Oryctolagus cuniculus: one gene and its partners. The protein of the gene in region 1 purifies or fractionates together with the protein of each later gene. This does not show direct contact. Links are inferred from orthologs where the notes say so. Each region holds a gene or a part of one and is shown in the gene's direction. Other genes may lie near its edges. The genes, in order: WDR5, SESN2, E2F6, KAT8, PDPK1, PAXIP1 and NCOA6.

The links.
Region 2: the proteins of WDR5 (region 1) and SESN2 purify together in Homo sapiens (affinity purification with mass spectrometry; 3 studies listed by BioGRID and IntAct, counting the BioPlex papers as one, with this or other methods). This does not show direct contact. The link is inferred for Oryctolagus cuniculus from reciprocal best matches to the Homo sapiens genes WDR5 and SESN2.
Region 3: the proteins of WDR5 (region 1) and E2F6 purify together in Homo sapiens (affinity purification with mass spectrometry; 4 studies listed by BioGRID and IntAct, counting the BioPlex papers as one, with this or other methods). This does not show direct contact. The link is inferred for Oryctolagus cuniculus from reciprocal best matches to the Homo sapiens genes WDR5 and E2F6.
Region 4: the proteins of WDR5 (region 1) and KAT8 purify together in Homo sapiens (affinity purification with mass spectrometry; 5 studies listed by BioGRID and IntAct, with this or other methods). This does not show direct contact. The link is inferred for Oryctolagus cuniculus from reciprocal best matches to the Homo sapiens genes WDR5 and KAT8.
Region 5: the proteins of WDR5 (region 1) and PDPK1 purify together in Homo sapiens (affinity purification with mass spectrometry; 4 studies listed by BioGRID and IntAct, counting the BioPlex papers as one, with this or other methods). This does not show direct contact. The link is inferred for Oryctolagus cuniculus from reciprocal best matches to the Homo sapiens genes WDR5 and PDPK1.
Region 6: the proteins of WDR5 (region 1) and PAXIP1 purify together in Homo sapiens (affinity purification with mass spectrometry; 7 studies listed by BioGRID and IntAct, counting the BioPlex papers as one, with this or other methods). This does not show direct contact. The link is inferred for Oryctolagus cuniculus from reciprocal best matches to the Homo sapiens genes WDR5 and PAXIP1.
Region 7: the proteins of WDR5 (region 1) and NCOA6 purify together in Homo sapiens (co-immunoprecipitation; 10 studies listed by BioGRID and IntAct, counting the BioPlex papers as one, with this or other methods). This does not show direct contact. The link is inferred for Oryctolagus cuniculus from reciprocal best matches to the Homo sapiens genes WDR5 and NCOA6.

What each region holds. Positions count from the first base shown.
Region 1 is NC_091432.1:235,834,253-235,837,830, forward strand, and holds part of WDR5 (WD repeat-containing protein 5), read left to right. Parts: intron 1-275; coding exon 276-359; intron 360-2,295; coding exon 2,296-2,351; intron 2,352-3,578.
Region 2 is NC_091438.1:143,412,735-143,416,312, reverse strand, and holds part of SESN2 (sestrin-2), read left to right. Parts: intron 1-2,658; coding exon 2,659-2,856; intron 2,857-3,210; coding exon 3,211-3,393; intron 3,394-3,514; coding exon 3,515-3,578. UniProt on the Homo sapiens protein: Functions as an intracellular leucine sensor that negatively regulates the mTORC1 signaling pathway through the GATOR complex. In absence of leucine, binds the GATOR subcomplex GATOR2 and prevents mTORC1 signaling.
Region 3 is NC_091433.1:191,257,119-191,260,693, forward strand, and holds the end of E2F6 (transcription factor E2F6), read left to right. Parts: intron 1-860; coding exon 861-984; intron 985-1,511; coding exon 1,512-1,561; 3' UTR 1,562-3,022; downstream 3,023-3,575. UniProt on the Homo sapiens protein: Inhibitor of E2F-dependent transcription. Binds DNA cooperatively with DP proteins through the E2 recognition site, 5'-TTTC[CG]CGC-3'. Has a preference for the 5'-TTTCCCGC-3' E2F recognition site.
Region 4 is NC_091450.1:6,063,379-6,066,956, reverse strand, and holds part of KAT8 (histone acetyltransferase KAT8), read left to right. Parts: intron 1-2,523; coding exon 2,524-2,577; intron 2,578-2,687; coding exon 2,688-2,852; intron 2,853-3,514; coding exon 3,515-3,578.
Region 5 is NC_091450.1:32,774,724-32,779,000, reverse strand, and holds the start of PDPK1 (3-phosphoinositide-dependent protein kinase 1), read left to right. Parts: upstream 1-1,421; 5' UTR 1,422-1,566; coding exon 1,567-1,590; intron 1,591-4,277. UniProt on the Homo sapiens protein: Serine/threonine kinase which acts as a master kinase, phosphorylating and activating a subgroup of the AGC family of protein kinases.
Region 6 is NC_091438.1:18,780,723-18,784,300, forward strand, and holds part of PAXIP1 (PAX-interacting protein 1), read left to right. Parts: intron 1-1,040; coding exon 1,041-1,728; intron 1,729-2,226; coding exon 2,227-2,321; intron 2,322-3,578.
Region 7 is NC_091442.1:23,283,841-23,288,162, forward strand, and holds the start of NCOA6 (nuclear receptor coactivator 6), read left to right. Parts: upstream 1-1,487; 5' UTR 1,488-1,714; intron 1,715-2,743; exon of another isoform or gene 2,744-2,919; intron 2,920-3,052; exon of another isoform or gene 3,053-3,135; intron 3,136-4,322. UniProt on the Homo sapiens protein: Nuclear receptor coactivator that directly binds nuclear receptors and stimulates the transcriptional activities in a hormone-dependent fashion. Coactivates expression in an agonist- and AF2-dependent manner.

The sequences.
Region 1 (3,578 bases):
CTCCGTGAGTGCGGGGCGGGGCTGCGCGGGGGCGGGGCGGGGCTCCGTGAGTGCGGGGCGGGGCTGCGCGGGGGCGGGGCGGAGCTCCGTGAGTGCGGGGCGGGGCGGGCTGCGTGGGGGCGGGGCTGCGTGGGGGCGGGGCGGAGCTCCGTGAGTGCGGGGCGGGGGCGGGGGCGGGGCTGCGCTGCGTGGGGGTGGGGTGCGTGGGGGCGCGGCGTGGCGGAGGGGGCCCTGCCTTCCTGCCGTGGGCCACTGTCCTGTCCCGCCTGCCCTAGTTTGACGAGAGCGTGAGGATTTGGGACGTGAAGACGGGGAAGTGCCTCAAGACCCTGCCCGCGCACTCGGACCCCGTGTCAGCCGTAAGTCCCCCCCACCCCCGGGACGCGGCCACTGCGGGCGTGGGCTTCCGGGGGCAGCGTCCCCGACCTGAGTCTCGGGGGAGCAGGGCCGCGTGGGGAGCCGACCTCGGAAGGGGGTTCCGCGTGGAGGTAGCCTTGCTCGTCGGAGGTGGCCGGGATGGCCCGGGCCTGTGGACACGCGGTGGACGCTGAGTTGCTGGTCCCAGCCGTGCGTGTTGTCCGAGCTGCAGGCGTGCGGGCGCCATCCCGGGGTGCGGGGCGCGCGGGGAGAGCGAAGCCGCGTGCAGTGTCCGCGGCTGCTCCGTGAGCGGGGGTGGGGCGGTGGCTCGGCCTCAGGCCTGGCCGGAGCCTGCTGCAGCGTTTTGTCTGTGGGGCGTCTGGGCCTGTGCGGGACCCTGCCCGCCGCGCTGTCCTCCAGGCATGAGTGGCGCTGAGCGGCTGGGGCGGAGGAACGCAAGGAGTGACCGGCGGGCGGGGTTAGTGAGCTTGAGGGGAGCCCTGGAGCCCCCGGTCCTCAGCTGTGGCTGCAGGCTTTTTATTACCGATTGATTTCCCGTGTCTTTGAAGGAGCGAAAGGGAGAGGCGGGTCCTCCGTACACGGCCTCATCCCCAGTGTGTCCGCAACGGCCAGGGTGAGGCCAGGCAGCCGGGGCCCTGGGTGCGGAGGACCTGAGCTCGGCACCGGGCACCTGCTCTGGGCCGCGGGGCGGGCCTAGGTGGGCTCGGGGCTGGCCTAGGTGGGCTCGGGGCGGGCCTAGGTGGGCTCGGGGCTGCCGGCGCAGTGGCCCGCGGCAGAGAATCGCTCTGCATCGGGGGAGGTGAGCGTGGCGTCCACGGCCTGGGAGAGCGGTGGCTGCTGCTGCCGGGGCCGCGGGCAGTGCCGCTGCGCCGGCCGGCTCCCCAGCAGGCGGCCCCCGCGGGGCCCAGTCTGGGAAACCGGACTTGGAGATTTCGGAGACGTAGCCACGGGAGACCCGGCACGGTGTGTGGGCGGCGTGTCGGGGTGACACGTGAAGTGAGTTGTCTGGGAGACGGGGCCGGGCGGAGCCAGGAGAACGCTGGCGCTCCGCGGGGTCAGGGAGCGCCACCACGGCGTCGCCCTGCGTGGCCTTCGCCTGCGCAGCCGCTGGGGACCCGGGGTGGCCCCGGCTGTGCCCTGCGGGGCCTTGGGTGGGCTGGCACGCGCTGACTGCCCCCGCCCTGTGCTGGGGACCTGCTCAGGTCTGCAGCTGTTTCCGGCTGCCCGGGACGGCCCCGCAGTGCCAGGAGAGTGTCCTTGGCGTCGGCAGCTGCACGGGGAAGCCGGTGCTGAGGCCCGGCCCGACGGTTGGGCCAGGGCAGTTCCAGAGGTGCCCCTTGCAGAGAGGCGGGCCCTGGGCCAGCCCTGACGGACCCTGACCCTTGACCTCGTGAATGACAGCCGCAGGCAGCCGGGGTCGTCACTTATCTCCGTCGCGGTGACCCCCGCTCCTTGGGTTCCACAGGAGGGGGTTGGGAAGCAGCGTGGGTCAGCTCCTGGGGTCTGCAGCCAGGGCGAGTGGGGGGCTTGGCCCAGAGGGTCCTGGATCTCGCTTCTGCCACTGTGCGGGGCCTGTGCTCGGCGGTGGTCTGGCCGTCTGGACGGCTGCAGGCAGGTGCAGGCGCGGAGTGCGGGGAGACCCACGTGCCTCGGGTCGTCGGCCCCACGTTGCCTCGTTGGGCTGACCCCAGCCGGGCAGGCGGGGTGTTTCCTGTCGCTCCCCATCACTGCCCCGGGATCTCAGGGCCCGAGACAGCAGCTGGAGCCGTCGCTGTGCCCGCTTGACCCCTTGTGTGTGTCGCCTGCGGCTGGCCGGGCCCGGGGCCTGTGCACCGCCTCTGTCGTGCGTCCGTGCAGGCAGGAAGCGGCCTGGTGATGACCTGGAAGTACATCTGCCGACCCCACTTTCATTTTCAGGTTCACTTCAACCGTGACGGCTCGTTGATCGTCTCCAGCAGCTACGATGGTCTCTGGTGAGTGGGCGTCTGTCCCTTACCAGGGCTCGGCTCTGCTGTTCCGAGCTCGGACCGCGCGGCAGAGCCGGCGGCCTGGAGCTACCAGCGGCTTTCCTGCCGGGGGCTGCCGGCTTCGGAGGCCCAGAGGCGCCGAACAGGCTGGGGCGGGCGGCGGTGGGGCTGCGGTCTGGGGCCCCTGCTGTGGCGAGCCCTCAGTGAGAGGAGGGGCCTGGGGGCGGGGCTCTGCCGCGTGTCCAGTGGGTAACGCCCGGGCGTGGGCGCTGTGTGTCCAGGAAAATGCAGCAATGCTTCAGTGGTGCCCAGCGGGTCCGTGACGGGGGCTGGCGTGGGCCACGGGGGCCGCTGCTGGCTCGGTTGATGAGCCCGGTCGAGAGGACGTGCTGGCTAGGGAAGGGCAGAGGGGGCCCTGGGCAGACAGCCTGGGGGGAGGGCCCTGCTCGGAGCTGGCGAGCTGGGGCTTTGATGAACTCGCCCGCGCCTGTGTTGCTCTCGCGACACCCTTGAGCGCAAGGGGAGGCAGGTGCACAGCCGAGAGAAACTTCCCACAAGTGGGCCTGGCGGGCAGGTGGGGGACGCGGAGCCGAGACCGCGGGGCGCTGACACCCAGCGCTCTGCCTCGCTGCCCCCGGCCTCCGCCCCACGCAGAGCCGGACAGGCCAGGGGCCCTGCCAGGCCTCCGTCCCAGCTGCAGCCGGCCGGGCGCCGAGCCCTCCTGGAGGCGCGTTCCGTGAGCCGGCTGCACCGTGGTGCTGGCCTGGGTGCTGACCAGACAGGCCTACAGGAAGTGCGTACCTGGCCCTGGCCTGCCCTGGCCACCGTCTCCCGGGGACCAGGTTTCCAAGGAAAACAGCAGAGGCCGGCCGGCATGCGTTGAGGGTTGTTGACGGAATCAGGAGAGGAGAAGCCGTGGGTCGGGAGCTGCCTGCAGCGGGACAGCCGGGCCCAGGCACGCGCTGGTGCCACAGAGGGCGCAGAGGCACCGGGAGGCCGGCGCAGTCGGGCGAGCGCGTGCCCGCGCCCCTGCCTGAGTTCCCTGCCGGACCGGGGGACGCAGCCACACGGGCGTGGACGAGCGCCGTCTCTAGGAGACGGGTTCTGGTGTTCAAGGATCAGAAGCCCCCCGGTGTGGGGCAGCTTCCAGACACCAGCGTAGCCCCCGGTGCGTGCTGGGAGCCGGGAAGCCAGCCCGTGCTCAGCGGGCCTGGTGGGCCTGGGGGTGGAACA
Region 2 (3,578 bases), on another chromosome or scaffold:
TTTTATTTATCTGAAAGGCAGAGTGACAGAAGGAGAGACAAGAGAGATGGAGATCTTCCATCTGCTGGTTCACTCTCCAAAGGGCCGCATGGCAAGGGCTGGGCCAGGCTGGGCCAGGAGCCAGGAGCTCCATCTGGGTCTCCCACATGGGTGACAGGGGCCAGGCATGTGGGCCACCCATTTCTTTCCCAGGCACATTAGGGAGCTGGATTGGAAGTGGAGCAGCCCCTACTCAAACTAGTGTTGTAATATGGGCTGCCAGTGTCACAGGCAGTGGCTTAACACACTGTGTCACAGCACTGGCCCCCTGCCCAGGGTTTTAAGCTCCAGTATTGTTTTTGTGTTTTATATTCTAATTTATAACTAACCACTCTACTTTATAATAAAGGAAAGAGATGGGATTTAGAAATCATCTGGATTTGAATCCTGTTTCTGTCATTTATGCGAACTACGGCCTACAGAAGAGGGTGAAACCTGTCTGGTTTCCTCTCTGTTAGGGAGAAATAATGGTATTTACCTCAAAGCATTATTGAAAAGATTCAATGAGGGATGGCTAAGAGGTCTGCATCCCACATTGGAGTACCTGGGTTCCAGTCCCAGCTCCAACTTTCTGCTAACGCAGACCCTGACAGGCAATGGTGATGGCTCAAGTAATTGGGTTCCTGCCACCCACATTGGAGATGTAGATTGCATTTCCTTCTGGCCCAGCTCCAGCTATTTGCAGGCACTGGGGAGTGAGCCAGCAGAGAGGAGCTCTCTCTCTTTGTCCAGCTCTCTCTCTGTCACTCTGCCTCTCAAATAAATAAATAAATAAATATTTTACAAAAATAAAATCATTGACCCCGGGGCCTTTGTTGTGGAGTAGAGGTGAAGCCGCCACCTGTGCCACTGACATCCCATGTGGGCGCCGGTTCATGTCCTGCCTGCTCCACTTCCAATCCAGCTCCCTGCAAATGCACCTGGGAAACCAGTGGAAGATGGCCCAACTGCCTGGGCCCCTGCACCCATGCAGGAAACCTGGAGGAAGCTCCTGGCTCCTGGCCTCGGTCTGGCCTAGCCCTAGCCATTGAGGCCATCTGGGGAATGAACCAGCAGATGGAAGATCTCTCAAGATCTCTCTTTCTCTCTTTCTGTAACTCTGTCTTTCAAATATTTTTTTTTTTAAACTAACCCCTTTCAAAAAAAATTCAATGAGATCATACAGGTAAACTTTTAAATCAGACCTGACGTGGACAAAACAGATAATGTGACCTGTTTTGCACCCACTGCCGTGGTTATGTGCATTTGCGTGTTAGAACAGAATCTCCTTGAAGGTAGAAGAAACTGTATTCTTTTCTTTTTTTTTTTTTTTAAAGATTTATTTTCATTTGTTTGAAAGACAGAATGACAGAGAGAAATAAAAAAAAAAAATAAGTCTTCCATCCACTGATTCACTCCCCAAATGGCCACAATGGCCTAGGCTGCGCCAGGCCAAAGCCGGAACCTGGAACTTCATCTGGGTCTCCCACATGGACGGCAGAGCTCCAAACACGTGGGCCGTCTTCCGCTGCTTTCCCGGGAGCATCGGCAGGGAGCTGGATCGGAAGCATGGCTGACCTGGAACATACGGCGTTATAGGCCACAGCCTAACCCCTGCTCCACAACACTGACCTCAGAGAAACTATACTCTTTTTTTTTTTTGACAGGTAGAGTTATAGACAGTGAGAGAGAGACAGAGAGAAAGGTCTTCCTTCCGTTGGTTCACTCCCCTAATGGCTGCTACAGCTGGCGCTGCGCCAGTCCGAAGCCGGGAGCCGGGTACTTCCTCCCGGTCTCCCACGTGGGTGCAGGGACCCAAGCACTTGGGCCATCCTCCGCTGCCCTCCCGGGCCACAGCAGAGAGCTGGACTGGAAGAGGGGCAACTGGGACTAGTACCCGGCGCCCCAACCGGGACTAGAACCTGGGGAGCCAGCGCTGCAGGCAGAGGATTAGCCAAGTGAGCCACGGCTCCGGCCAAGAAACTGTACTCTTAATCTCTGTTTCAGTTTTCCTATCTAAAAATGGAGAAAGTAGAACTCCAATTTCATACTTATAATGATTAAATGAAAAAAAAAATATATATATAAAGTGCTTGCACAGTGCATGGCATTTAGTAAGCATTATATAAGTATTGGCTATTTTTTAAAAGATTTATTTATTTATTTGAAAGTCAGAGTTACATAGAGAGAGGAGAGGCAGGGAGAGAGAGAGAGGTCTTCATCCTCTGGTTCACTCCCCAGTTGGCTGCAACGGCTGGAGCTGTGCTGATCCAAAGCCAGGAGCCAGGAGCTTCTTCCTGCTCTCCCAGGGGCCCATCTTCCATTGCTTTCCCAGGACATAGCAGAGAGCTGGATCGGAAGAGGAGCAGCCAGGACTAGAACCGATACCCATATGGGATGCCAGTGCTTTAGGCCAGGGCGTTAACCCGCTGCACCATAGCTTGGGCCCCAAGTATTGGCTATTATCATATATATGAAGTGCCTGATAAGTGTTTATTTACTGAAATGTGTTTCCGCCCCACTCCCCCTCTTTTTGAACAAGGTGGTGGTTTTGAGTTACTTGCTGTAATTCACCCATTGCCCAGTATGTGTTGGTCTCTGTAGCTGGGAACCCATGCTCTCCTCCCCTTGCCTTGGCAGGTGCTTCGGGAGGGAGCTGAGAGCCTGGAGCAGCACCTGGGGCTGGAGGCATTGATGTCTTCAGGGCGGGTGGACAACCTGGCGGTGGTGATGAGTCTGCACCCTGACTACCTTAGCAGCTTTTGGCGCCTTCACTACCTGCTGCTACACACGGACGGGCCCCTGGCAAGCTCCTGGCGCCACTACATTGCCATCATGGTGAGCCGCTCTGGGCCTGATGCTTGTGGGACTGGCCACAGGTGGGGCTCTGGCTGTGGATCTCCTTGTGGGGCCTCCTGAGCTGATTTCCCAGATGAGGAGGAAAGGGGTTTAGAGCCCAGGAAAGCCCTGAGTGGCCATAGAATTGGAGGCTTTGAAGACAGGCATCTTAGATGCCGACTTTCCAGACTGAGAAACTTGGGGTGCAAGGAGGTCAGGTGAGCTCCAAGCTGGTGGCAGATGTGGGGTTAGAATCTAGATTGCCCACCTTTTAAGCAACAGGGTACTGTGCTGGCTTCACCCTGAGCGAGGCCCAGAGGAGGAGGGTGACTCAGGCTCTGTCCGCCCCTGCAGGCTGCCGCCCGCCACCAGTGTTCCTACCTTGTGGGCTCCCACATGACCGAGTTTCTGCAGACTGGCGGTGACCCTGAGTGGCTGCTGGGCCTCCACCGGGCCCCTGAGAAGCTGCGCAAACTCAGCGAGATCAATAAGCTCCTGGCACATCGGCCGTGGCTCATCACCAAGGAGCACATCCAGGTGTGGTGGGCAGAGAGGTGGGGTCCCGAGGGAGCGCAGGGGCCTGGCCGTGGCCTGGCTGGAGCCTGGCCAGCAGCCCCATGGCAGGCACTGAGCAGGCCCGGCCTTCTCTCCCCTGCAGGCCTTGCTGAAGACGGGCGAGCACAGCTGGTCCCTGGCTGAACTCATCCAGGCCCTGGTCCTGC
Region 3 (3,575 bases), on another chromosome or scaffold:
GGCCTGGCCTCCAGCAGTGAGCACAATCTTCCCGGGCCGCCCATGTGCCACTGGGAAGCCGTGGCAGGGACGATGGCTGAGTTCGGAGACTCCCGAGATGCAGCGTGTCCCCCAGCTCACAGAGGCTTGGAACAGGAGGGACAGCCGGGTGGAACGCCAGCCTGGGCCTGACGAGTGACGCCAGAGGGGGAGAGACGCCGCCTGTTGTGCAGTTGCACGTGAGAAGGCAAAGGATTCGCGAGCACAGCCGTCCCTGGTGGACTCAGCGAGGTTTCCCGTGGACGCGCCCTAGCTCGTGGGGAAGCTGTCCTAGTGAATCCTGGGTAAACGCGGCTGAAGCCGCACGCTGTGAGCCGGTGGTTTGTGTTAGTCCTCAGTACAGTTGGCCCCTTGTGTTTTTCACGTCTGAAATTGTGCGTGGTCTGTTTTGACTTGCTCTGTTCCTCTGATTCTTTCGACTGGACAGAGGAAAGGCCCCGAGGCGTCTCAGTGCTGCCTCCCGGTCTGGAAGTCCACACTCGCCCCCCCCCCCCCACCGCCACCGTGCAGGGCTGGGGGGTTCTCCGGTTCTTTGTCGTCAGATCGCGGGTTTTAACTCAGGTCCGTCCTGGAGGCGGCAGCTCCTCAAGGCGGGAGAGGTTCTCGAGTGCTGAGGCGTCTGCACGCGGTGGCTCGGAGCCTGTACTCCTGGGTAGCAGCCGGCTCCACCGCGGGAGCACCGGTGGCTCACGGTGTGACCAGCTGAGAACCTGCGCGGTGGGAGGGGAGCTGCTTCTGATGTAGGTTTTCAGGAAGGTCCCGGGAAACTTGCACGGATCTGGTGAGCGAGGCACTCCCGATGCTGTCCTTGTCCCCGCCAGGACTCGGTCACGGTGCACATCAGGAGCACCAAGGGGCCCATTGACGTGTACCTGTGTGAGGTGCAGCAGGACCCCCCGAGCAGGAAGGCTGCCAGAAGCAAGGGTCCGGAGCGCCCCGAGCAAGGTAAACGCACGCCCTTTGTGGCTGGGAAGATGGAGCCCAGCGGTTTCAGTGTGTGTGACTTTGAGTGCGCTCTGTGACCTTCAGGTACCTGTCCTCTTCCTGTCCGCAAAAACCTGAGTTAAAAAGTAAGCCCCGGCTGGCGCCACGACTCACTAGGCTAATCCTCCGCCTTGCGGCGCCGGCACACCGGGTTCTAGTCCCGGTCCGGGCGCCGGATTCTGTCCCGGTTGCCCCTCTTCCAGGCCAGCTCTCTGCTGTGGCCCGGGAGTGCAGTGGAGGATGGCCCAAGTACTTAGGCCCTGCACCCCATGGGAGACCAGGAGAAGTACCTGGCTCCTGCCATCGGATCAGCGCGGTGTGCCGGCCTCAGTGGCCATTGGAGGGTGAACCAACGGCAAAGGAAGACCTTTCTCTCTGTCTCTCGTCTCTCTCTCTCACTGTCCATTCTGCCTGTCAAAAAAAAAAAGGAAGCCCCTTCTCCTCTCAGACCCTCACTGAGGCGACTGCTCTCCTGTGTGCCTTTTCAGAAGAAAATCCGCCCCAGCAAGGGGAAGCGTTGCCTGAGACGAACAACTGAGGGTGTTTGAGTTCACGGACTGCGCCGTCGCGAACGTCCCGGATGGTTAACTGCGTCACGTCCGAGCAATAAATCCTCCCCGACGTGCGCTCAGCACAGCATCGGCCGCGCTGCGCAGGCCACTGCCCAGATTGCTGGGTGATCTCGGTTCCTGCATCCGGCGACTCAGTGACGTGGGCAGCTCGCCTCCCGAGACTCGGGACACACGGGCAGCGGAGCTCCGGGACACGGCCCTCCCCGCGAGGGAGGAAGAGGTTGCCTTATACCGCTTCGTGCGTGCGCTCGCGAATCTGACTGGTCTCTGCAGATCTGTATAACGGCGAAGTCTCACGAGCTCTGTCCAGGTGACGCATCGCACCCTGTACAGCCCAGATAACGCGCACGCGGGCAGTGGCGGACAGGCGCCCTCGTAGCTCGGGGCTCTAACTTGCTAGGCCCCTCTGGGTGCGGGTTACAGGAGAGCTTTCCCCGGCTTCTGCGTGTGGAAGGGCCGTGGCTGTGCTCCACGGTTGAGTCCTCGGGTTTAATTAAAGTGTTTTAATATGGAGCCCAGGGTTCACGCTGGATACAGACAGCGGCTGACCTCAGCTGCTGCAGAGTGCCCGTGTCCCAGCGGCTCGTGGTGCAGGTTGGAAGCCGAGCTGTTCTGCAGACCGGCTCTGTGCACTGTTCTGTACTCCGTGCGCAGTGATGCCCCGCCCCCTCAGCCCTGGCCCCGCCCATCCAGCACCTGGCTCTTCTACCTCATGGGGCGAGTCACTCACCCCCGTGCCTCAGCTTGCTCAGTCGTTGGCCACTCTACTGTGAGCCCCCGAGGGCCTTTGTCACCGTCATCGTCCGTCCCAGCGCTGGGCAGCGCCCCGACCTGTAGAGTGCCCCCTGCGTGTCTGAGCTGGCAGAGTGAGGGTTGGTGACGCCTGCCTGCGGCAGGTGTGTGTGCTGGGCTTTGCTGGCGCAGGGGTCAGCACCGCAGCATCCACGCACACCCTTTCACAAGAAGTTGTTAAAACAAGCCAAAGAAAAGCACAGGGCACTGTCCGTCGTCATTGGGCTAGCTGGGGATTTTTTTTTCTTTTTGATAGTATAGGAACAATGGGTATAGGGTGAACGAGTTTTAGGCTTAATGAAAATGAGGATTTGGGCAAGGAGTTTGTGTGTCAGTCGGTGCCCACCCCATGTATTGGGTTGGACAGATGTCAAGTTCAGGTTCTGTGTGAGAGTTTACACTGGGGTCACGTCGAGAGAATGCAGAAGGGAAGAGAACCAGGAATACACGGACATTTAAGAACAGAAGAAGGAATAAGGAGAGGAAAACCGGGGAAGGGGGTGTCCAGACAGCAGGGGGGCACTGCCGAGGCCGGGAGTCCTGCTTCTGGTGGTCCCGGGGTCGCGCGGGAACGTGCGGGCAGCAGTCCCCTGCGTGTTTGTGTCTTCTGTAAATGAACATCTTGCCACCCCGTCTGCTGGTGTTCTGCCTCTTCTTTTCACTCCCGCCCATCCCAAGCCCCTCCCGCCTTGCTTTCAGAGGCCCCGTGTTTCCCGGGTCTCCTCTCCGCTGAGGGCCACACCTCTTCGTTTTGTTTTTTAGCAAGAGTTCCAGAGAGGGAGAGACAGAGATCGTTTGCCTGCTGGTTCACCCTCCGCCTGGCTAGTCCAGGCCAAAGCCAGGAGCTTCGTCTGTGTCTCCCACGTGTGCGCAGGGCCCCAGACATCGGGGCCGTCTTCCGCTGCTCTTCCCAGGCCATTAGCAGGGAGCTGGATCGGAGCAGAGCAGCTGGGACATGGATGGCGACGCACACCTGACACACCGGACACTGCAGGCCTGCCCCAGGCTCACTGGCTGATCTTGTCACACCTCGCTGGCCCCTGCCACACCCCGTCTAGTGCTGGAAACCGTCTCTGCGCCCTTGCTCTTCTCCGACCCCAGCCTCCCCTGCCTCAGATCCGCATCCCGGCCGCACCCTGCCCTCCGTGTCCTCCTGTCCTGCACGCGGCCTGTGCACGGCTCTCGGGA
Region 4 (3,578 bases), on another chromosome or scaffold:
AAGAAATAGGAAAAGAGAAAATCCCAGAGCGCATAGCACTTATTGGAGGTAAGTACTGCTTGGAGAAGCTTTTACTTCACCTAGAAGCACAACGTTTGCAGGAACGCGAGCGTGGCACCAGTCCTTACTGTGGATGGGACCGGAAGGGCCTCCCAGGGTCTAAGGCAGCAGTGTCCCACTGAACTTCCTGTCAGGAAAAAAACGTTCCGTGGCCATTCTGTCTCCTGGGCAGTGACCGCTGGCCACTGGCCACGTGTGGCTCTTGAACACTATTGAGAGTGGGAGTGAACTTTTTACACTGTAACGAATTTAAACAGCCGCAGGCGCTGGTGGCTCCTGGGTTGGACAGAGCTAATCAGGTGGAAGACGGTGAGTCCCTCACTAGCTGGCACTGAACACACACTGGACACCAAGCCAGATGAGAATGGGCCACTAGTGATAAAACCCCAGAATGGGTCGTAATGGGCAAGTTAACGATCAGCCAGGTTCTTCGGAGCCTAATTAATGTTTGACTCTTAAATAAATTACGGCATTTAAGAGGAGTGTTTCTGTAGTTCTTTATTGCCTTGGCCAAAGCCGCGTGTTTGCTGGCATCCGGGAAGTGTGTCTTAACGAGGGGTAAGGAGGAGGACTTTGTGTCGTGTTGGCAGTGGTCAGGCTGTGAATCGGACAGACCAGGGACGTGTGCCCACCTGTGCTGTGTACCAGGTCTGTGACCTTGGGCAAGTGCCCTGTCACGCTGTGCCACCGTTTCCTCTCCTGTACGGGGGGAGAGCCAACGGCGCTATCTCCAGGCTCATTGTGAAGACTCCAGCAGGATCTGTGGAGTGAAATAAATGGCAACTGGCTGGTGGCCAAGGGCGGGTGACCACACTGCTCCCTGTGTGTTCACCACTCTGTAAAATCAAAATAAGAATGCTTTAGCTCAGATCGCTGAGGGGATTAGCTGAGGGGCCCGTGTTGTGGTCTAACAGGTTAAGCTACTGCCTGTAATACCAGCATCCCATATGGGCACTGGCTTGAGTCCTGGCTGCTCCACTTCGCATCCAGCTCCCTGCTAACATGCCTGGGAAAGCAGTGGCGGATGCCTCAAGTCCTTGGGCCCCTGCACACATGTGGGCTCCTGGCTTGGGCCTGGTCCAGCTCTTGCTGTTGCAGCCATTTGGGGAGTGAACCAGCAGATGAAGATCTCTCTCTCTGTCTCTGTAGCTCTATCTTTCAAATAAATAAAATAAATCTTTTATTTAAAAAATGTTTTTTTAAAGGGTTAGTTGGGCCTGTTTAGGCAGAGCGCCTTGTGAAGGGGACTTCTGGGTCAACAGTGGTCCTTTCTCAACTAAATAGGCCCCAAGCCCCTCTGGTGCAGGTTGTGGGCCTTCAAGGGTGCCCCCCCCCATTGTCCAGCTGTCGGCGGCACCTTCTTCAAATTCTGGCCCAAGAACACCATGTGCTGTGTGACTGGACGTTTACTCCCCCGCACACTCAAGACTCGGACAATAAGGGAAGCAAGCTGCTGACCACCTTGCCCCTGGCTTGGGAAGGCCGCTGTTCTCCAGAGCGGGAGACGCCGGCCAGGCTTCCTGGAGCGGGTGGGGACGACGCTGGGCCTTGGAGGCCTGGAGCCAGCACAGTGGAAACAATTACAGCCTCCAGCTCACAAAGTCCAGCTCCGTCCTGGGACCCGCCTGCCTCGTGCTGTGTGCCAGTTGGAGGAAGCGTTGTCTGCTGGCCTAAGGAAAGGGCATTCGCAAGGGGAAGGCCCTGCACGTGCAGAAGCACAAAGGCCAGAGAGTGGGTGTTAATCACTGCGGGGCTTTGCGGGGCCTGAGCCTGGGGGTTGGGGCGCTAAGGAGGCCTGGTCAGTTGTCCAGACCGGACATGGTAGGAAAGACTAGAGGATTCCAGAGCGTGACTTCAGAGATGTCAGGGAGGTGAGTTGCCATCCGCTGGTTGAGATCTTGGCCATGCTAATGGAATGCCAGGCTGAGAGGGAGGAGTCGAGAGCAGGCTCAGTGGCTGGACTCGGGCAGCTGGGCCCAGGGCGAATGCCCAGGAGGAAGGTTTGCAGAGAGCAAAGGGGCTTTCTGCGCATCTTGAGTTATGACGCTGCTGTGGAAGGGGCCTCTGGGGATAGGCCCACCGGCAGGCAGCGGCAGGTGCCCAGCAGAGGTGCCCAGGCCCACGGGGCAGTCAGCCGTGGTCGCCCTTGCCTTGGGAGACGAGATCCATCCTATCATGTGGCAGTTTGGGCAGAGCTGGGTTGCCTCACTGTGCAGCGGAAGCTCTTAGCTCCCGATCCGCGCCTTGGTCAGCTGGCAGGATGTCCCAGCACGGGCATCAGGGGTGTCTGGGCAGACAGGCGAGGCGCTCAGACCAGCCAGCCACAGACCCAGGTCAGACGACTTCGCTCCGGGTCTGGTGTATGGATGTTCTGGAAGCCAGGAGGGAGGCACCGTGGACCCTGAGATTAAGGGGCAGCCTGACCACCTTCTGTTCAGCCCTGCGCACTTCTCTTCCCTGCAGACTTACGCAGAGATGGACCCCACAACGGCAGCCTTGGAGAAGGAGCATGAGGCGGTACGCAGGGTCAGGGGCCTGCCTGGGCATTCCCTCACCACTTCCTCCCTCACCCGTGCTAAGCCTTGTGCTGTCCTTCCCCACTCCCCACCGTCCCCCTCTGCCTGCAGATCACCAAGGTGAAGTATGTGGACAAGATCCACATCGGCAACTACGAAATTGACGCCTGGTACTTCTCACCGTTCCCGGAGGACTATGGGAAACAGCCCAAGCTCTGGCTCTGCGAGTACTGCCTCAAGTACATGAAGTATGAGAAGAGCTACCGCTTCCATCTGGTGAGCTGGGCCAGGCCGGGCCCTGGGGCTGGGGGCGGCTGGGAGCAGAGAGGGGTCTGCAGGAGTCAGGCGCCAGGAGCAGCTGAATTCCAGGCCTGGCTTTGCCTTTCTGTGGGGCTGACCTTGGCCAACTTACTGCCTCCCTCCGGACCTCAGTTCCCACGTCTGTAGAGGGGTGCAGTTAACTCTTGGGCCCTCGGCCCTTTGGCCCTTGACCGCTGTGTTTAGCAGCGCCAGGCTCCTGGGTGTGAAAGAGGAAGTGAACGTCCACCCCTAGCAGTGGGACGAAAGATGTGGACGGGGATCAGAAGGTGTGGAGGGCGGTGCATGGGAACTGCACTCTCACCACCAGCATGGTGAGGGGGGAGGGGAGGGTTGCCCAGAGCAGTGAATTTCCCTGGTTCAGGAAAGCCAGGGTCATGGATAAGTGCCCTCTGGAGACCCCTAGCCCGAGTATGCGCTCTGTGCGCCCAGGAGGTTCCGTCCTCTGCAGCTGTTAGGGAGGACTCCTCAGGCTGGGTGAAACACTGACCCTGGGGGCTATGGATGAGAAAAGGGGGAGACTTGCTCGGGGCCGCACGGTGGGGTGGTGAGGGTCGTCAGGCAGGGAGCCTCTGAGTCTCAAGCCTGTGTCCCCCACCCCACCCACCTCTCACTGCCAGGGCCAGTGTCAGTGGCGGCAGCCCCCAGGGAAGGAGATCTATCGCAAGAGCAACATCTCTGTGT
Region 5 (4,277 bases), on another chromosome or scaffold:
AGCTCTCTGCTGTGGCCCGGGAAGGCAGTGGAGGATGGCCCAAGTGCTTGGGCCCTGCACCCGCATGGGGACCAGGAGAAGCACCTGGCTCCTGGCTTCGGATCAGCGCAGCGCGCCGGCCGTGGCAGCCATTGGAGGGTGAACCAACGGCAAAAAGGAAGACCTTTCTCTCTGTCTCTCTCTCTCACTGTCCACTCTGCCTGTCAAAAAAAAAAAAAAAAAAAAAGGGTTATTTACAAATATGCAAACCAGGGGTGTGTTAAGCCCCTGCCCGTGGCTGGCATCCCATACGAACACTGGTTCAAGTCCTGGCTGCTCCACTTCAGCTCCAGCTTCCTGCTAAAGGGCCTGGGCCCGAGTGCTTGGGCCCCTGCCACCTGTGTGGGACCCAGATGAAGCTGCTGGGTCCTGCGTTTGGTCTGGCCCAAGCTTGGTCACTGCAGCCATTTGGGTCAGCCCAGGAAGATCTCTCTGTCTCTGTCTCCCTCTCTGACTGCATGTGGCCGGTGCTGTGGCATAGCGGCAAAGCCACCGCCTGTGCCGCCCGCATCCCATACGGGCGTTAGTTTGTATCCCAGCTGCTCCTCTTCTGCTCCTGCTCCCCGCTATGGCCTGGGGAGGCAGCAGAAGATGTCCTGGTGCTTGAGTCCCTGCACCCACAGGGGAGACCCGGATGGAGCTCCTGGCTGCTGGCTTTGGCCTGGCTTGGCTCCAGGCGGTGTGGCCATGTGGGAGAGAGCCAGGGGATGGAAGGGAGATCTCCCTCTCTGTTTCAAATAAATAAGTAAATTTTTTTTTTTTTTTTTAAGAAACGCACACACCCACACAGCGAACCTTCAGTAAAAAGAGGAAGGTGGGATCGTGGCGCGCCAGCGTGAAGGTACTTACTGTAGCCGAACTGTGCACCTGACGGGGTCACATGGTCAGCTTCGTGTGTACCTGCCCCCGTAAAAACCCCTCCTGCCCCGCATGAGCGCCTGCAGCGAGCAGAGCAGCCCAGGACACGCTCAGGCGTGGGTGTTCGGAGGGTGGCCCCGGGGTGCCCGGGCGACGCGGGCCTGTTCCCTTCCGCAAACGCTTAGCACCTGGGAAACCAGTGCCGGAGCAGGCTGCAGCCCAGCCCCGCTGCCGCCTGGGGCCTGACTCTGGGCCCGAGCCCCCGGGCCTCAGTTTCCCCGTCTGGGAGCTGGGGATGACAGCTAGCCATGCCCCGCCCCGCTAGCTCCAGGATTGGCTGGCGCGGCGTCGCCCTTCCCTAGCGGGGCAGGGCCGCTCCCGTCAGTCGAGCCCTAACCCGGAAATGCGGCTCCGGGGGTCGGGGCGGGGTCCGCCCGGGAGCCGCGGAGCGACGACCGGCTCAGCCAATGGGCGTGGGCGGCGGCGGCGGCGCGGCGGAAGTCCTGCCCGGCGTCGCGCGGGGGCGGGGCGGTGCCGGGGGCGGCGGGCGGCGGGGCGGGCGCAGGATGAGGGCGGCCATTGCTGGGGCTCCGCCGCGGGGAAGAGGACGGCGAGGAGGCGCCGAGTAGCGCAGCGGGGCGGAGGAGGCTCCCGCGCCGACGGGGGCCCATGGCCAGGACCACCAGCCACTTGGTGAGTGCGCCGCGGCGGGCGGGGCGCTCCGGCCCGTTACACCGCGGAGCGCGGCGGCCTCCCGGGACCGGCGAGGCGGGGCGGCCCGGGGTCCCGAGGGCCGGGCGGCGCCTTCACTGCGACGGCCGGCCGGGCCGGGGCGGTCGGTTCCAGCCGGGCTCTCTCCTCGGCCGCCGCGGGCAGCCCTGGCCCTGGCGGCGGCGGACGCCGGCCCGGCCGGGGGCGCTGACAGGCGCGGAGGGCGGGGGAGGCCTGGAGGTGTCACCTGGCCGGGCGGGGTGGAAGTGCCTGGAAAGTTTGTTTTCGAGTCGGCGCAGCCTGGAGCGAGCCTCTGGGGCCACCTTTCCGCTCGGTCTCCCGAGGAGCCGCCCTAGGCCTCCGCCTGGAACGGCTTCCCAGCGCCTCCGCCTGCAGAAGGGGGCTCGTTCTTGGGCCGGGCACCTGATGCTCGCGGCCCCGCCAGCGAATTCTCGACCCGGGGCGGGGAGTGCGGAGGGTCTGGTCGCCCCTGCTTTCGCGGCCCTGCGGGAGGCATTTGGATGCTTTTGCGGCCGGTGGCCGTGTTCCGTGCGGGGGGGAGCTGCTGGGAGGCGGGCCTCGAAGCATCGCCGAGGGGAAGTGAGCCTGACAGGTAGAGGGGACCCCGGGGCAGCAGAGCGGAGCAGGCCACTTGTTTGTCGAGCGTCTCTGTTTTCCCCGCGTTCCTGGTGTCTGGATGTGCTCTGAGGTCTTGGGACGTGCGTGGCGATTTAGCCCTGTGTGCGGTGGTGATGGTCGGACGTCACTTGCAGAGGAAGTCCTGGGCATGAAGGCAGGCCCGGGGCGCAGCTGGACGCTCGTCTGCCAGGCTAGGCCGTCGCGGCTGCAGTCGCAGTCCCGGGGGGCCGGGGCCTGGCAGGGCCCCTTGGCGTGGCCGAGGTGGGAGCCCGTGGCTGAGAAAGCGCGCGGCTGCACTGGATTCTGCGACTGTGTCAGGAGGCCCTTGGACCTTCCGCAGCTGCTCCTTGGTGATCATTAAACCGAAACCTGCAGGCTGAGAACGGGGTGGGGGTGTCCGCGTGTTGGGGGTGTGGCTGCACCCCGGCGCCCGGCAGAGTGAGCTTCCGCACGGTCTGTGCAGGCTAGAAAGGGGTGGGGGTGTCCGCGTGTTGGGGGTGTGGCTGCACCCCGGCACGGTCTGTGCAGGCTGAGAACGGGGTGGGGGTGTCCGCGTGTTGGGGGCGTGGCTGCACCCCGGGGCCCGGCAGAGTGAGCTTCCGCACGGTCTGTGCAGGCTAGAAAGGGGTGGGGGTGTCCGCGTGTTGGGGGTGTGGCTGCACCCTGGCACTCGGCAGAGTGAGCTTCCGCACGGTCTGTGCAGGCTGAGAACGGGGTGGGGGTGTCCGCGTGTTGGGGGTGTGGCTGCACCCCGGCACGGTCTGTGCAGGCTGAGAACGGGGTGGGGGTGTCCGCGTGTTGGGGGTGTGGCTGCACCCCGGCACGGTCTGTGCAGGCTGAGAACGGGGTGGGGGTGTCCGCGTGTTGGGGGTGTGGCTGCACCCCGGCGCCCGGCAGAGTGAGCTTCCGCACGGTCTGTGCAGCGCCGGGTGTGTATGAGGCTCTGTGGAACAGGGAGCTCGGGGTTTCGCGGTCTTGTCATCCACACGATGGACTCTGACATGCAGTGTCTTCATGCGAGGCAGCGTGGCATCCCGTGAGCAGAAGTGGCCTTCCCGGGGAGGGAGTGAGTGGCAGGCCCCGCGGCTTTGGCAGCTGGAGTCCCTGTGGCCCCGTGTGGAGGAGGCCGTGTTTCCTGTCAGTGGTGCCGCAGACCGCCTGCCCCAGAGGCACCTGATGGGTCTAAGGGGTCTGCACGCAGACTTCAGGGTGGCACTGCAGGCGTGTGGGAGATGCCTCTGCCAGTGGGAAACCAGCAGGGGGAGCAGTCTGCGCTCTGGCCTCTCCTGCCGGGAGTCCGAGGTGGGCCAGAGTCCGATGAGGGCAGGTGCCTTGCCAGGTACCTCCTGTGGTGGTGTGGGCAGTGTTGCTCCCTTGCACTGATGCCTTGAGGTGCAGAGGGGTTTGGCAGGGACCCCAGTGTGAGGGCCGCCAGGGAGGGAGGGAGGGTGGGCAGCTCAGCCCGGCTCTGTGTGTGGGGTGTGAGGAGTCCTCAGTGCGTCTACCCAGGATGTCTTCCCGGGAATGGAGCCCCATGGAGGCAGAGAGAGTGTCTTGGCCTGCAGGGACAGCGCACGTGTGTCTCTGGGCAGATGGCTGAACTCTGTGACCCCTGGGGCCTGTAGCGGCCTCCTGCTGTCAGCAGCTGTTTGGAGAGCGGCTCCGGCTCTGCACTGAGGGCTGATAGTCTGGGTGAGGCTTGGGGTCCCTCTGGAAGAAGGACATGTCTCTGTGGGGTTAAGGGTGGAATTGGGGGTTCGGCGGGCCTTTTGCGAGGCTGGCTGTGTCTGTCGGGAAAGGCTGGGGAAAGCAGAGAGCGTCAGAAAAAGCGGCTTGTGGTTTTCTGGCTGCGCTCCGCCTGCCGCCTGCCGTGGCTGGTGTGTGTGGAGCAGGGTGACCCCGCCCGGTGACACCCGGGAGGCAGCAGTCTGCAAGCGAGTGGAGAGCGGCAGGGTGAGTGCTGATGCCCCAGCTGGGGCTGAGGTCTGCTCTGCTCTTGGGTGTGTGTCGTGGGGAGGCCACAGGGCATC
Region 6 (3,578 bases), on another chromosome or scaffold:
TTGTATTGATTGATTTTTAGTGAAATCTATTTGTGCTGGTTTCCATGGTCATAAGAAATTGATTTCAAATTTTTGTCATTTGAACATGTTGAACAAAATTGATTGTGTAGCCTGAATAGTTTGTTTTATTCTGTGCTGTGTAGGATATAATAAAAATAACTTGCAACTTGATACTCAGTTCGATGGGCATCTCCTGTTCTGTGGTTCTGTGGGTGGCCCCTTGCACCCACAGAACTGTCAGCCTGCTCCTTGTCTTGGTGAAGCCAAATGAACTTGAAGGGAAATAGTCTGGCTTGAATGATTTTCTTTGGTGTGAAATATTTTTGTCCCATCTGAAGAACTCGAAGTCATTTTTATAGAAAGATAATTTCCCAGCTGTAATAATGATTTCTTAGTTGCCTTTTAAGCAAACCTCTTGAAGTCTTGTCTGTCCATTTATGTAGCATGCCCACTACAGAGAGCAGGGTTACCTGGGGGTAGCGGGGGCCAGGCAGGGAGGGGTGGCCTTACCGGTCTTAGCTGATATCTGAGCTGCTCATGGTATTACTGCATGGGTCTCTCTCCTTTCATTTGGACTCTGGGCCGTGAGGTAGGAGGAGGTGGAATGGTAGATGTGGCTACCACTTGTCATTCCCCTCAGCACAAAGTCTGTGGAGCTGGAGAAAGGGAGATGGGTGATGGGAGATGCTGCACACTACAGCATATCACAGGGAGCACCAGGGCTTGGGCTCCCAAGGCCCTAGAAGGAAATGTTTATGACTGCTCTTCAAAACTCCGCAGGTGTGAGTTTTTATGTTTGTCATCTTTAATTCATTAGCTTACTCGGTTTTACATACATGTTTTAAATTTTGGTGATCTCAAAATATGAATTTATTTGCTTGTCTTACTAAAGTTGGTGATACAAGGTATATAAGAAAAATGTGGTCATTATGAAGTTTCTAATCCTTTGGTGCTTCTGTTATGTTGAATATTAGCACCGGAGGGAAACTGTTAGTACATGTACCTATTGATAATGACTTCACCTACCTTTTGTTTTCTAGATCTTACAGTCCCTCTCAGCGCCCACAAAACACTTAGAGCAGCAGGTGAATCACAGCCAGCAGGGCCATGCCAATGCCAGTGCCATGTTGTTCAGCCAGGTGAAAGGCACTCCAGAGACACACATGCTTCAGCAGCACCATCAGCCCCAGCCGCAGCAGCAGCAGCCGCCGATTTTACACCTGCAGCCCCAGCAAATGATGCAGCTGCAGCAGCAGCAGCAGCAGCAGCAGATTTCCCAGCAACCCTACGCCCAGCAGCAGTCCCACCAGTTCTCGCAGCAGCCACAGCCGCAGCAAGTCCATCAGCATCAGTTTCCACAGCAACAGCTACAGTTTCCACAGCAACAGTTGCATCCTCCACAGCAACTGCATCGCCCTCAGCAGCAGCTACAGCCGTTTCAGCAGCCGCATGCCCTGCAGCTGCAGCAGCTGCAGCAGCACCAGCTGGCACAGCTGCAGCAGCAGCAGCATAGCCTGCTGCAGCAGCAGCAGCTACAGCGCCTGCACCAGCAGCACCAGCAGCAGCACATGCAGAATCAGACAGCACAACACTTGAGTCAGACGTCCCAGGCGCTGCCGCATCAGCTGCCACCTCAACAGCCCCAGCCCCAGCCCCAGCCCCAGCCCCAGCCGCAGCCGCAGCCGCCACAGCATCATCAGCTGTTTGGACACGATCCAGCAGTGGAGAGTTAGTAACCGGGATTGTTTTTTCTTTCTCCTTTAAGTCTTATGCTTATATAAATGCACTAAGAGTGTGTGAGGGTGTGGGGTAAGGATCCATATCAAATGGTTCTTACGAAATGGAGACTGTGACTCTCATATCTAACAAAGAAGTCATTATAATGAGATAATTGTACTTTCTTTTGAGGCACTATATACTGAAATGGATAGTTTTGTTCCATAGAGCACCCAGGCTGCCACTCGGACTAATTCAATAGTTGTCTGGCATAAATTAAGTTGGTTTTTCTTTTAAGTGATTCCTTAATATAGATAATCAGACTAGTATGTTTGTATGAATATTCCAAAATGTACTCAGATTACTGGCAGAAACATCATTGTCAAGACCAATTAAGTTGGTAAATTCAAGTTTAATTCTGTCAAATGCCATTTAAAAATGGGAGGTGCATGCATATTCATAGGATTTTAATTTTCTTTTTCTTGTATGATTCTATTGGTTCTGTTGTAGTTCCGGAAGAAGGCTTCTTACTGGGATGTGTGTTTGCAATTGCGGATTATCCAGAGCAGATGTCTGACAAACAGCTGCTGGCCACCTGGAAAAGGGTAAGGCTTTGCCTACAAGAAGTAGAACTTTTTAAGTGAAGATATTCCTTCATGATTGTAGACTTAGCCATGTTCATTTGACTGTATTCACTGACACATCTGCATGTGTTCTCAACGTGCTGTGGGCATTTTTATTACTAGCTTTCTCTTTGACCCTGGGCAAATCACTTTTCTAGACTTCAGTTTTCTCAGCTGAAATAGGTGAAAGATAGACTATTAAGATTTTTTTCAGCTCGAAAATTCTAAGGGACATTGGTTGTTTATATACGGTTGGGGGTGTGGGAATCAGATAAGGTTTTCACTGATGTAAGGAAAGGACTACAAACCTGTGTGTGTCTTAATCATTTCTCTTTCTCCAAAGTGTTAGAAAACCTAGGATCTTTTAAGTTAAAAAGGACCTCAAATCTTCTATTCCTGTTGTGCTGTAGTGCATTTATTTATTTGAAAGGCAGAGTTACAGAGAGGCAGAGGCAGAGAGACAGACAAGAGAGATCTTCCATCTGCTAATTCACTCCCCAAATGGCTGCAACAGCTGGGGCTGGGCCAATCTGTAACCAGGAGCCATGAGCAGGGGCCCAAGCGTTTGGGCCATCTTCTGCTGCATAGTCCGTTTATTTATTATTTTACATGGTGGCTTCTAAAGAAAAATAAAATGAACATTTTCTTGCTGTGTCACAAATCAAAGCTGAGTGTTTTTTTTTTTTTTTAATTGAACAAAAACTGACTTTAAGTATGTTTCAAGTGCATCTCAGGTGTACTTCACCATGAGCATTTCTGGTGTGCACCAAGCCTACTACAGGATGCAGGGAATGTATACTGAATAAACAGACTAACTACACTGACCAGTAGGGGAAGCAGAGGCATGCATAATAAGTAAGAACCAGTCTGGTAGATGCTGGGTAGAGGTGGCACAGGGTGCTATGAGAGCCTGTTCGGTGTGGATGTGTTGAAAAAAAGTCTTTCGGAAGAGATGGTTCTTGAACTGAGTCTTAAAGGATGAGTAGGAGCAAGACTTAGGGAGATTTTTCAGACAGAGCAAACAGCACAGGCAAAGGCCCACAGTGTGGCTTGCAGAGATGAGGGGGAGATCCCAGTAGGGCCCATGAAAGTCCATGGAACAGGGAGGACAAGAGATCTTCTCTATGCTATGTTATGAGATTTGGAAGTAGAGCAGCTGGGACTCGAACTGGTACCCATGTGGGATATTGGCATCACAGGCAGTGGCTTAACCCCTTATGCCACAACACCAGCCTGAGA
Region 7 (4,322 bases), on another chromosome or scaffold:
TGGTAAAACATTTAGTAGATATGGACTTAAGATTTTTGCATTTTACTGTATACAGATTATACCTCAGTTTTTGAAAGTTAAAAGAAGAAAAAACTATCAAAATTTTTTTTTTCCAGGCCCCAGGTTCTTTCTAAATCCATCTGGTTAATTTTGTAGACCCAAAAGTCTAAAGTGCCCTCTTGTGGCTGCCTGTGGTTCTCTTTGGGTATCTGCTCTCTTGGGTGTAGTCCCTAGCAGGGCACCTAGGGTCCACACACACACATGGAATACTCACTGAGCACCTACTCAGTGCCAGGCACCGTGCTGAGTGCTGAGGAAACAAAACAGACGGGGCTCCCCTTTCATGTAGACCACAGTGAACTGGCACAGGCGTAGTAACCTACTGCATTCTAATTAAGGACAAGTGCATGGCATAAGAGAACTTGTCTGGGGAGCGGTCAGTGAAGGCTGCCTTGGAGTAGCCATGTTTGAGCCAGGATCGAAGGCTGATGAGTTAGCTATCTACCTGGGGAGAGCGTGGAGTGTGCAAGGGTCCCGAGAAGGGAGTGCAATGTGCCAAACAGGTCACTGGAGTGGCAACCCAAAGAGCAGAAGGGAGCCCTGAGACAAGAATGGAAATGCGGGGTAGAAAACAGGTACTCGTTTACCCTTAGAGCAATGTGGAACCATCAACAGTTTTAAGTAGGGGAGTGACACGGCCAGATTTCTGAGGTAGAAGCTTCGACAACAAAGTGGGTGATAGGCTGGAAGTGGGCCAGGATGGGTGTGAGGCCATTTGGTGGCTACTGCATTAGTGCAAACGCCCAGTGGGTGCTCAAGACCCGTCTGTGGAATGAAAGGGTTCCCCAGTCCCTTTTGTTAGATGGGACCCCATGACTGAGCAGCTCCCACAGTTCACAGCCCACTTGCTCAGTCTCCAGTCTTCCCTGATGCACAGACCCCCAACTTCCACATTACAGATGAGGAAGGCGAGGTCCAGAGAGGCAGAGAAAGTCCAGGAGGCCTCTGTGCCACGGGGATGCCTGGCTACACCTGGGGGAGGGGAGGGTGGCACTCATTCACTCAGGAATTCTGTCCACTGAGCTTGCTGGCGAGATGGTGGTGACGGCACAGGGTCGAAACTCACAGGCAAGTAACGGTAACGACCGTTCTCTTTCTCAGTTAATGCCAAGCACCGTGCCAAGCGCTTCATCTCCGCTTTGCAAGCATTATTATTATCTCCAGATTTCAGTTGGGTAAACTGAGGCTCGGAGAGTTGCCATGTCCCAGGACACTCAGCCAGAGCGCGGCAAGGAGCTGCGCAGCGCTTCCAAGGTGGGAGCCACAAGCGAAGCGACTACCGGAAGCAGACGCGGACCCGCGGGATCCAGATTTTAAGCCCCGGGCACCCAATTGAGCGGGTGCGCGCTCCACGCGCTCCCGGGGACGTTTGGTCACGTGTGCAGGGCCCCGCCCCCTCGGGCCCGCCCCGCCCCCTCCCGCGCTCCCTCCCTCTCTCCCTCCCTCCCCCTCCCTCCCTGGCCCGGTCCGGCCCATCCCCCTCCCCGCCGGCTCCCTGAGGCCCTGCCGGGTCGGGCTGCGGGCGGCCGGGCGCCGACGGCAGGACAGACGGGCGCACGAGAGGACGGACGGACGGACGCACGGAGGGCGGCGGGCACGCACGGCCCGGGCCGGCGCTCCGAGGCCCGCCCGGGAGGGCCGGGGCCGCGCTCAGGTGAGGCGACGGCGACGCGGGCCCGTAAGGGGTGGGCCCGCCCGCCCGGCGTCCGCGGTCTCGGCCTGGCTGGCTTCGCGGGGAGGAGGTGCTGCCCGGGCCCGGCGCGGGAAAATGGCGCCGGGCGGTCGTGCGGCACGGCCCGAGTGCGGGCCCGGCCCGGAGCCGCCCCGCCCGCCCGCCGCGCTCGTGTCCCCGTCGCCATGTTGGGGAGCGGGCCCCGGGCCTGCGGGCGGGGGCGCTGGAGGGAGCGGCGGCCCGGCCGAGGCTGGGGAGGGTGCGGGACGTGGGGTTCGGGGCGTCGAGGGAGTGCAGGGCTGGCCGGGGTCTGCACGGGGTGGCGCTCCAGGCCCAGGGAACTGGCAGGGGCCGGACTTGGGGTCGAGGCTAGGATCGCGAAGAAGGGACACTGGATCCGAACGGAACCGGGGTCGGAGGTCCCTGGGCTGGGGGGATGGCAGGACGTGGAGCCGTGTTAGGCCGTGGCGGTGTTCAGACCCCCAGGGCAGGTAGGCGGTGTGGGGGCCCAGCTCAGGCTGTCAGGGCTGGAGCTGGTCTTTGCAGGGAGGGGAGGGGAGGGGAGGGGAGGAGAGGAGGTGATTGATTAGAAATGGGGGCCTTTTTGCTACAGATGAATGTATCAAATTGGGGCAGTCCTGGGATCTTGGGGACAGAATTGCAAGCCCCTGTAACTCTTAAGGGATTAAGGACTTTTGTGTCCCACGGAGCCTTCACCTCATTTTGAGGGGAGCATCATAAAAACGGAAGAGTTGATGGGGAGAGAAAAGGAGGGCTGTGGTTTGAGGGCAGGAGCTGGCCAGCAGAAGGGGGTGCAGAGAGTGGAACTGCTTGGCAAGAAGGGAGAGAACCTCCATCAACTTATGGAGTTGTGTGTATCTTTAAAAGGAGGGACCAGGCTGTTTGGAGGTGGTGACCCAAGGTGTCTTCACAGGAAGGGGACAGCCCACTGCTTAAGAGCAGGGTCACCTGGGGAGGTCATCAAAAAGGTCTTAATTGAGCCAGTAAGAATGGTACAGAAGAGTAAATATGTAAAAGCTACAACGGCCTCCGAGCTCATGGGATACTTTTCAGATCTTGTCGTGGCTTTGGCTTCCCTGAGATCTTAGGAGTTCAGTGGCAGAGGGGCTCCTGGACGTGGTTGTGCTTCCTCCTCATTCGCTCATTGTCTTGAGGGAATTTGCTTGCTGGAAGAATAGTGTTAAGCATATATCATGGAACTGTTAAGCATTTGTTTTATTTTTGTAAGGAGTTTGTACAAAGTCTGAGGGGGCTTCCAAAAAGAATAACTAACCAGCTATTTGATATATCAGCGCTCACCTCCATTTGTGCAAAGAAGTTATCTTCAAAATCCTCTCATTTTCTTCCATTTTAGTAGGTGAACCTTCTCTTCTTCCTGTTTACTGTACAGCAAAGGAACACAAAAAACTAAGAAACAACAATGAACAAGGATAGCGATCCAGAATCTCATGTTCAAACTGTAATTGATGGTCCATCACCGTAGGCAAGAGTTCAAAGTTTACATGAACTGTGAGGAGACTTCTGAAGGAAACCTTGTGTTTCAGTCATGATATCCAGTGGGTGCTCCATTCCTGTGGGTCCACACTTGTGGATTCAACAACCACCAATTGAAAATATTTAGGAAGATACATTGTATCAGTACTGAACATGCACAGGCTATTTTTTTGGTCATGCTTCCCCAGATGGTACAGTGTAACTATATGTACATAGCATTTACATTGTATTAGGTACTATAAATAACATAGAGACAATTTAAAATATAGGAGAGGACATGTGTAGGTTATATGCAGATACTATGCCATTTTATAAGAGACTTGAATTAGCCTTGAATTTTGGTATTGGGGGAGGGAGACCGTCTTTCACTGAAACTAAGGGACAACCATGTAATCAAAAAGGACTTTCAACAAAGAGGTGATGAAGGCATTCATAACATAGGATTTTCAATGCTGTATGTATGTACAACACAATCCGTTTTTTCTAGATTTTTCTAAGGCAGGAGGCCTGACCTTATGTGTGCCGTGGGACCTTTTACTATTTGGCGAGGTTTATTAAACCTCTCAGAAAAAATATTTTTATTTGTATAAAGTATATTAGATTACAGAGAAAACCAATTATTTGAAATGCAATTATCAAAATATATAAATTATGATAAACTAATACAAGCAAGTATGTGAGGAGGTGGGTGTATGTGTATACATACTTCTTTATCAGCACATTAATGAATTAGATCTGGGGGCTGGTGTGGTGGCACAGAAGATTAAGCCACTACCTGCAACATCGGCATCCGCTATCGCACTGCTGGTTCAAGTCCTGGCTGCTCTGCTTCCAGTTCAGCTCCCTGCTAATGTAACTGGGAAAGTAGTGCAGGATGGCCCAAGTTCTTCAGCCTCTGCCACCTACATGGGAGACCCAGGCAGAGTTCTAGGTTCCTGCCTTCAGGCTGGCCCAACCCTGGCCACTGCTACCATTTGGGAAGTGAGCCAGACAATGGAAGACCTCTCTTACTGCCTGTGCTTCCCTCTTTGTCATTCTGCTGTTCAAACAAATAAAGTAAACCTTGCAAAATAAA